2 linked regions of the Canis lupus familiaris genome follow. The main gene of each other region encodes a partner of the protein of the gene in region 2 in a complex. Links are inferred from orthologs where the notes say so. Each region holds a gene or a part of one and is shown on either strand. Other genes may lie near its edges. The genes, in order: PSMB10 and PSME4.

The links.
Region 1: PSME4 (region 2) and PSMB10 share a complex: the UniProt entries of both Homo sapiens proteins name them as parts of the spermatoproteasome. The link is inferred for Canis lupus familiaris from reciprocal best matches to the Homo sapiens genes PSME4 and PSMB10.

Annotation. Positions count from the first base shown.
Region 1 is NC_049226.1:82,145,179-82,149,770, reverse strand, and holds PSMB10 (proteasome subunit beta type-10), read right to left. Parts: upstream 2,849-4,592; 5' UTR 2,709-2,848; coding exon 2,653-2,708; intron 2,426-2,652; coding exon 2,338-2,425; intron 2,256-2,337; coding exon 2,158-2,255; intron 2,036-2,157; coding exon 1,895-2,035; intron 1,672-1,894; coding exon 1,556-1,671; intron 1,461-1,555; coding exon 1,402-1,460; intron 762-1,401; coding exon 610-761; intron 488-609; coding exon 376-487; 3' UTR 317-375; downstream 1-316. UniProt on the Homo sapiens protein: The proteasome is a multicatalytic proteinase complex which is characterized by its ability to cleave peptides with Arg, Phe, Tyr, Leu, and Glu adjacent to the leaving group at neutral or slightly basic pH.
Region 2 is NC_049231.1:56,139,758-56,142,358, reverse strand, and holds part of PSME4 (proteasome activator complex subunit 4), read left to right. Parts: intron 1-935; coding exon 936-1,069; intron 1,070-1,933; coding exon 1,934-2,068; 3' UTR 2,069-2,072; intron 2,073-2,601. UniProt on the Homo sapiens protein: Associated component of the proteasome that specifically recognizes acetylated histones and promotes ATP- and ubiquitin-independent degradation of core histones during spermatogenesis and DNA damage response.

The sequences.
Region 1 (4,592 bases), on a different chromosome or scaffold from region 2:
TCAAGGCGGGGGCAGTGCAGGGGGCCTTCTGGACTTCACAACATTCCCAGGTGGACTAGAGGGCAAGAGCAAGGCACTGGAGCAGCAGGGGACCTCTGCAGTGTGGAGTCGGCAGGGGGCTCCCCTCCTGTAGCTGCCGTGCTTGCTAGGGCTGGGGTTCCGGAGGAGTAGATGCCTGAGGTGATGGGTGAAGCCACCTGTTAGGCCAGGCACTGGAGCCACGGCAGGGAGTGGCACCTGCAGGTGTACATTAGCCAGAGTCCTGATGGCTGCTTGTCCCCTCTCCACCCAGGAACGACACAGCCATCTGCTTAGGTGTTTTTCTATTTTCTATGTTTATTCCTCCTTGTTCCAAGCCCTAAGCATCATCCCACTTCACTCCACCTCCATTGCCTGCACAGTTTCCTCCAGCAGCTCCAGGGTCAGTGGCTTCACTGTCTGGGACTGGACTGCTGTTGTCCCAGGGGCAAAGTAGTACTGGCTGGGTCTGGGAGAAGGGAAGGACAGCCTCTCAATTTGGGCCCATCATATAGTCCATCTTGCAGTCCCCCATTTGCCCTGCTACTGCCCCATCCTCCCCAGTGGTCTCCCCATTTCCCAAGTTCCCACCTTTCTGTGGGCTTTGTGGGGGAGCTTAATGTTCTCAGAAGTTTGGCGCCGGTCCCCGTTATCACACATGCATCCACACTGCCGCCGGAGCCGAGGTCACCCAGGATCCCAGCAGTGATGGCTTCCACTAGCAGCTCCTGCGCAGCCTCTAGCTGTGACGATACGTGTGGGGGAGACCTGCCGGACCCTGCTGGCGCCCTTCAGCCTACAGCCTACAGGTTTCTGCTCATCTCAAAGCCCAGACTATTTACCATTTGCTCCTACCCAGACCCCTATTCCCTATTCCCCCAGCCAGCCCAGACTCCCTTGCCCTGGCCTCTGCCTCGTTCTCTCCAGAGACTGTCTCACTGTCCCATGTTCACAAACTTCTCTTACACTTACGGTTCTGCTTCCAGGATTGTCCCCCCAACCAATGCGTCTCGGTCCCCAAACTACCAGCTCACTGCTCTTTCACTTCCGGGCCTTAGGCGCCTCTGAAGCAACACCTGTCATTCACTTCCATCCCACCTCAAACAGAATCGGGACTCCAGACCCCACTTGCCGTTCCCTCCTCCCTCAGCTTCACATGGTCCTGAGCTTTGACTTCTCCGGGCAGTTCAAACTCTGGCGCTGATGATCGTCTCCTGGAATAGCACTACTTCATTCTGATTCCACTGGCCCCTCGGCCTCCACTCAATCGTCACCTCCTCCAAGAAGCCCTCCCTGACCTCTACTAGGATCCCTGTGTGTTACCCCAACTCCCGCGTGCGCTTCCCGTCAGTGAACACGTCGTGGGGGACAGGTGTTGCTCACCGTCATGTTCGGCTGGAACCGATCCTCCAGGACCGCCAGCGCGGCGTCCTGGCCGGAACCTGCGGGCAGGAGGGGCATCTGAGGTCGGTCGTGGCCACCCAGTCGCGGGACGAACGCGAGGCCAGGGCCGCAGGGAAAGGGGAGAAGCGCTCACCCAGGGCGGTGAAGGGCAGCCGGCTGTAGGAGCCGTGCGGGTGCACGCTGTAGAGCTGCGGTCCCGAGAAGTCTACGCCGCCCACCAGCAGCGACGCGCCCACGTGGCCCCGGTACCTGGGGGGAGTGGGCGTGGTCAGCCCCGCCTCCGGGCCCGGGCCCCGCCCCTTCCTGTGCTGGCGACCGGGGCAGCGCCGCTCCTTCCGGCCGCCCGGCTCCTCCTGGGGCGGCCCCTTCCGGTCCCGGCTCTGGCCGCCCCGCCCCCGCCCGGCCCAGCTCCCCTCAGTCCCGCCCCCCGGCCGCGCCCGTCCCCGGGGCCGCCTGAGCCCGGCCCCAGCACCGGAAGAGGGTCTGGCGCAGAAGGCGCGTGACCGTGGTCACGCGGGGCTCGCGGCCCGTGGACAGGGAGTGTAGCTCCATGTTGGACGCCGCCATCCGCGTGGTCATCTCGGCGTCCGCGGCTACTCCAGCCCCACAGCAGCTGAGAACGAGTGGAGGCTCGGTGTGGGTGGGGCCCGGAGAAGCAGGGGCCGGGGGCGGGGGGCGGGGGGGCCGGCGGCAGGGTTGGTCTTGAGTAGGGGGTCGGGGTTGGGGATTTCTCACTAGATTTTGGGGGCGATGAAGTGGATCTTCTCGCAGTTCTTATCCATCACGACCGAGTCGTTAGTGGCCCGCGTATCCGCGCCCAGGATGACTCCATCCTGGTGGGAGAGGGTCGCTGGCCCAGTGGCTTTGGATCCCCCAGCAGCCCCTCCAAGCCCCCAGGCCCAAGTCCCTGCTCACTCGGAACACGAGGCCCGCGATGGTGGTTCCGGTCTTGTGTGCACGAGGGATCCGGAACCCCGGGAGGACGCGTTCTAAGGATGCGTTTCTGGAAACGGAGTGGAGTGGCCCAGGTTGGGGTTCTGGGGCCGCATCACATCCTCCAACTACGTCCCAGCCTCGCCCGCGTCTAGCGGCGGGAGCCTGGCAACCCAAGTCGCCCAGCACACCCTGCCGCCCCTCCGCCCCCACCGGGAATAAAGGCCCTGGAGTGTCGGTGCCCGAGGCCTTCGGGGAGAGCATAGCAGCTCAGCTCTAGACCATCACCCCCATCACCTCTGGCAGTTCTCGAAGGAGAAGCCCCGTTGGGGCTCTGACGCCAGCTTCAGCATCTCCAGGTGGGCAGGGTGGTCCAGGGGTTGGGGGTCTCTGTGCGACCAGCGGGGAGCAAGAAAGGCCCAAGCCGGGTCCTCTGTCCCGCACCCGCCTGGCTGGTCCGGGGCTTCCTGGTTTCGCTTTCACCTTTCCTGAGCTTGGCTGGCCCCTTTCTGCATCTTCTTTCACTTTCACCTTTGCCTCTGGTCCCAGGCAGCTTGTCAAAGGGGAGATGTCCTCGCTTGGCTTTCCATCCTGCTCCCTAGTCCTCAGTCTGTACAGAGGGACAGACAGCTCCATCTGGGTCAGGCCTGGGTCGGGGGATGTTAGCAGCTCCTCCGCCTTCCAGCCTGAGCCCTAGCTTTGAGGATCCCGATCCCAGCTCTGACTTCAAGTCCCTCAATCCTGAGGCTGTCACACTGGCCAGGTGTCTAGTCCTGGCCTCCCGACAGCATCAGGCATGGCTGCCTTTTGTCCTATGGCGCCCTTTCTCCCTCAGCTCTTTTGTTGCCTTTGCCTCCTCCCTGAAATCTGAAACACCAAGGCTCTATCCACCGTGGTGACACATGGTGACCTTCCGTGTCTCGGGTGCTATCTTCCCTCTCACAAGAGGGGTGCTGTGGGGCTGCCCATCTCGTGGCTTGGAGGCATGCTGGGCTCTACCCATGGCCAAGCCTTATTTCACCTCCCAAATGACCCTTTATCTATTGGCAGCTTTCTCCTAACTACCGCGTTAGTCTCCGCGAGCATCCTGTCCCCTCTGGATACCGCACTGCCTTTCCTGGCTTCCCCAAGCTTCCCGCTCCTCAGTCCCTGCCTCGGGCTAGCTTTACCTTCCAGAGAAGGGTCTCCTAGATTGAAAATCTGGTTAACCCCCTCAGCAACTGCATTATTGTTCTTAGGTTCAAACCGAAGTTATAGGGGATCCCTGGGTGGCTCAGCGGTTTAGTGCCTGCCTTTGGTCCAGGGCGCAATCCTGGAGTCCTGGGATCGAGTCCCACGTCAGGCTCCCGGCATGGAACCTGCTTCTCCCTCCTCCTGTGTCTCTGCCTCTCTCTCTCTCTCTCTTTCTCTATGTCTATCATGAATAAATAAATAAATCTTAAAAAAAAAAAAAAAAACCCAAGTTATAGCGGCCCACATGACCTTTCTCATCCCGTCTGATCTCAGAATAGGCACCATCCCCTCTGGGCAGCCTTCCCTGACCCCCCAAGACTCAGCCCTTTGGTGCTCCCTAAACTTTTCTCTCAGACCACTTAGTTCCCTTAATTACACCATCATTAGAGAAATGATCTGATTAGGGGCTGTTTCTCCCTCAGATTCTAAAAACTCTTGTGCTTCTGATATCCACTTAGCCCTCAAAAGGCCCTGTCTAGGGGGGCTCCTGGGTGGCTCAGGTGAGCATCTGACTTGTGATTTTGGCTCATGGTTTGTGGGATCGAGCCCTGCGGTGGGCTCTGAGCTCAGTGGGGAGTCTGCTTGAGATCTTCTTTGCCCTCCACTGCCCCCTCATAAATAAACCTTAAAAAAAAAAAAAAAAAAAAAGACCCTGTCTAGAGGTGGAATCCACTTGCCCTTTTGAGAGTGGGCAGGACAGCTCACATCTTCCCTGCTCTGCACTTTGGCTCCAAATGCCTCCATCCCACAGCTGTTTGTGCAGCTACCTCTAGTCCCCCATCCCCCAAGCAGAGGCAGGCTACATCAACAGCTCAACCAGGAGAGTGGGAAGCTAGACATCTCAGGGTTCCCAGTTCAAGCCCAGGCTTCACCGAAGTCCATCCTGCCCTTATATTCCACAAAGCACCAGGCCTATGGCTACTGCTCAGTGAGGCCTGCTATATGGACTCTAGTGCCTCCTCCCCAACCCACAATACACATCAAGGCTTAGAGAGCAAAAGAAG
Region 2 (2,601 bases):
GTGGGGTGTAATTTTGATTAGAGATTGTTTTAGGGGGCACTTGGGTGGCTCAGTGGTTGAGCATCTGCCTTTGTCTCAGGTTGGGATCCCAGGGTCCTGGGATTGAGTCCTGCATCAGGTTCCCCATAGAGAGCCTGCTTCTCCCTCTATGTCTCTGTGTCTCTCATGAATAAAGAAATAAAATCTTTAAAAAGAGAGCAAGAGACTGTTTTAGGATCAGGAATTGTACTTTTGCATAAGATATGAATTGATCAAAACTATCATTATGTAAGTTCTAGCAAATAGGTGACACATTTCTGACCTGTCATATGATGTGTCATTGAGGGTCAGCTATAGGATGTCTTTAGTTCAGCCTCAAAATCATGTTTTTGGTGTGTGTGTATACAGATGCATTTTTATTTTTTTTTAAGATTTATTTATTCATGAGAGAGAGAGAGAGGCAGAGACATAGGCAGAGGGAAAAGCAGGCTCTACACAGGAGCCCGATGTGGGACTCGATCCCAGATCCTGGGATCACAACCTGAGCCGAAGGCAGCCACCCAACTGCTGAGCCACCCAGGCATCCCCAGATGCATTTTTTTTTTTTTTTGTTTTTGTTTTTTTTTTTTTTATGATAGTCACAGAGAGAGAGAGAGAGAGGCAGAGACACAGGCAGAGGAAGAAGCAGACTCCATACACCGGGAGCCCGATGTGGGATTTGATCCTGGGTCTCCAGGATCGTGCCCTGGGCCAAAGGCAGGCGCCAAACCGCTGCGCCACCCAGGGATCCCCCCAGATGCATTTTTAATGCAGAAATTCACACTTTGGAAACAATTAGATTAATCAAAAACTAGTTCTATTTTACCATAACATGTGCCAGAGAGTCCTATAAATATTCGCACATTTATTGGCGGAGTTTTTTTTTTTTTTTTTTTTTTTTTTGCTCTGTTTTTCAGAGTTGGTCAAACGTCATGCGGGGGTGCTAGGACTTGGTGCATGTGTTCTTTCTAGTCCCTATGATGTTCCCACCTGGATGCCCCAGCTCCTTATGAATCTCAGTGCACATCTGAATGATCCGCAGCCTATTGAGGTAAAATTCTTCCGTATTAGTTTCTATGCCTACGTATTTTATCAGTGATGTTTTGTAAGAAATCATTTTACTGGTAGTTTCCTGTCACTCTGGACCTTCTGCTTTGATAGAGCTGCTGCCGCTCCTGCCTCTGCTGGGGCTAAGCCTACTCAAGTAATTAGTAACATCTTGTGGAGGGAGGCCTTGTTTTCATGTATATTTGAGATCTTTTGGTAGCAAGGAAATACTAAAGCTTCTGTCTCTCCCAGTCCAGTAGAAGTAAAATATGTCAGTGTTGTCAGGATAGTTCATCTTCTTTGGTTTTACTAACATTTTATATCTAGGAAGTGTCTAACGGGGAGCTAATACTAAAAAGGAAATTGTGATGGTATTATTTTGAGAACAGCTGTGTCTAAATGACTGACGAGACCAATGGCTTTGTGCTTCTCGCTTTGGTAAAGAGCTATAGGTGTGTCTTGAAACTCGTTTCATAATGCGGTGTAAGGGCCAGTAGCCTCTCCCCGAGTGCAGCTAGTCACTTTAAAGAGGTGGCCCGGGTGGCCCAGCAATTTAGCGCAGCCTTCAGCCCATGGTGTGATCCTGGAGACCCGGGATCGAGTCCCACGTCAGGCTCCCTGCATGGAGCCTGCTTCTCCCTCTGCCTATGTCTCTGCCTCCCTTTCTCTCTGTCTCTCATGAATAAATAAATAAAATCTTTTTTTAAAAAAATGAGCTTTGGGAAGTTACAGTTGGCTTGTTGGTTTTGCAGCACTCGGTGAGATCTGAAGTCTGGAGGGATTTTTACTTGGCTGAAGTTATCCTCCTGAGTATAATCCTAGTCTTTGAGAGGTTAAAGTAAAATGTGTGTGGGTTGCTCCTCTACAGATGACTGTAAAGAAGACCTTATCCAATTTCCGAAGGACGCACCATGACAACTGGCAAGAACACAAACAGCAGTTCACAGATGACCAGCTGCTCGTTCTCACCGATCTCCTTGTGTCACCGTGCTATTATGCATAGAAGGGTAAGTCAGCAATATTCGGGGTTTCAGGAAGTCTGACATCCTTGGCAGATGTCATGGGTTTGATGATTGAGAAGTGACTGCTCATAAGTTTTCTTTTTGCTTACATTCTCAGCTGTCCTCCTTATTTAGACAATTAAAAAAATTTTTTTTAATGCGACCTATGCTATGACCAGTGGAAGTAAGTTCCCTGAGAACTTTTCCCTGCTTCTCTGCTTCAGGTATCAAGCAGAGAATTGAAGTGACTGCTTTTGGACGTTTATAAACGAGTAGGCTTAGTATCCTGCAAGTGGTTAAAAGAAATTTTCTTTGTTGCCTGCTGAGTGGGGCCTAAGCGTTTTGGGTCGCCCAGAAAACCCTAGGTCCTATACAGTCATGAGAACATTTCATCTGAATTCTTAAGTATTTATTTTCCATCCCGAATTAAAGAGGAAAACCCAGAAACCTTTCCGCTAGGTTAAGAAAAATAAAGTAAATTTCACTTATTGGGCTTTAGAGTTGGATGTCCTGTTGTCTGACTGAAATTTTTTTC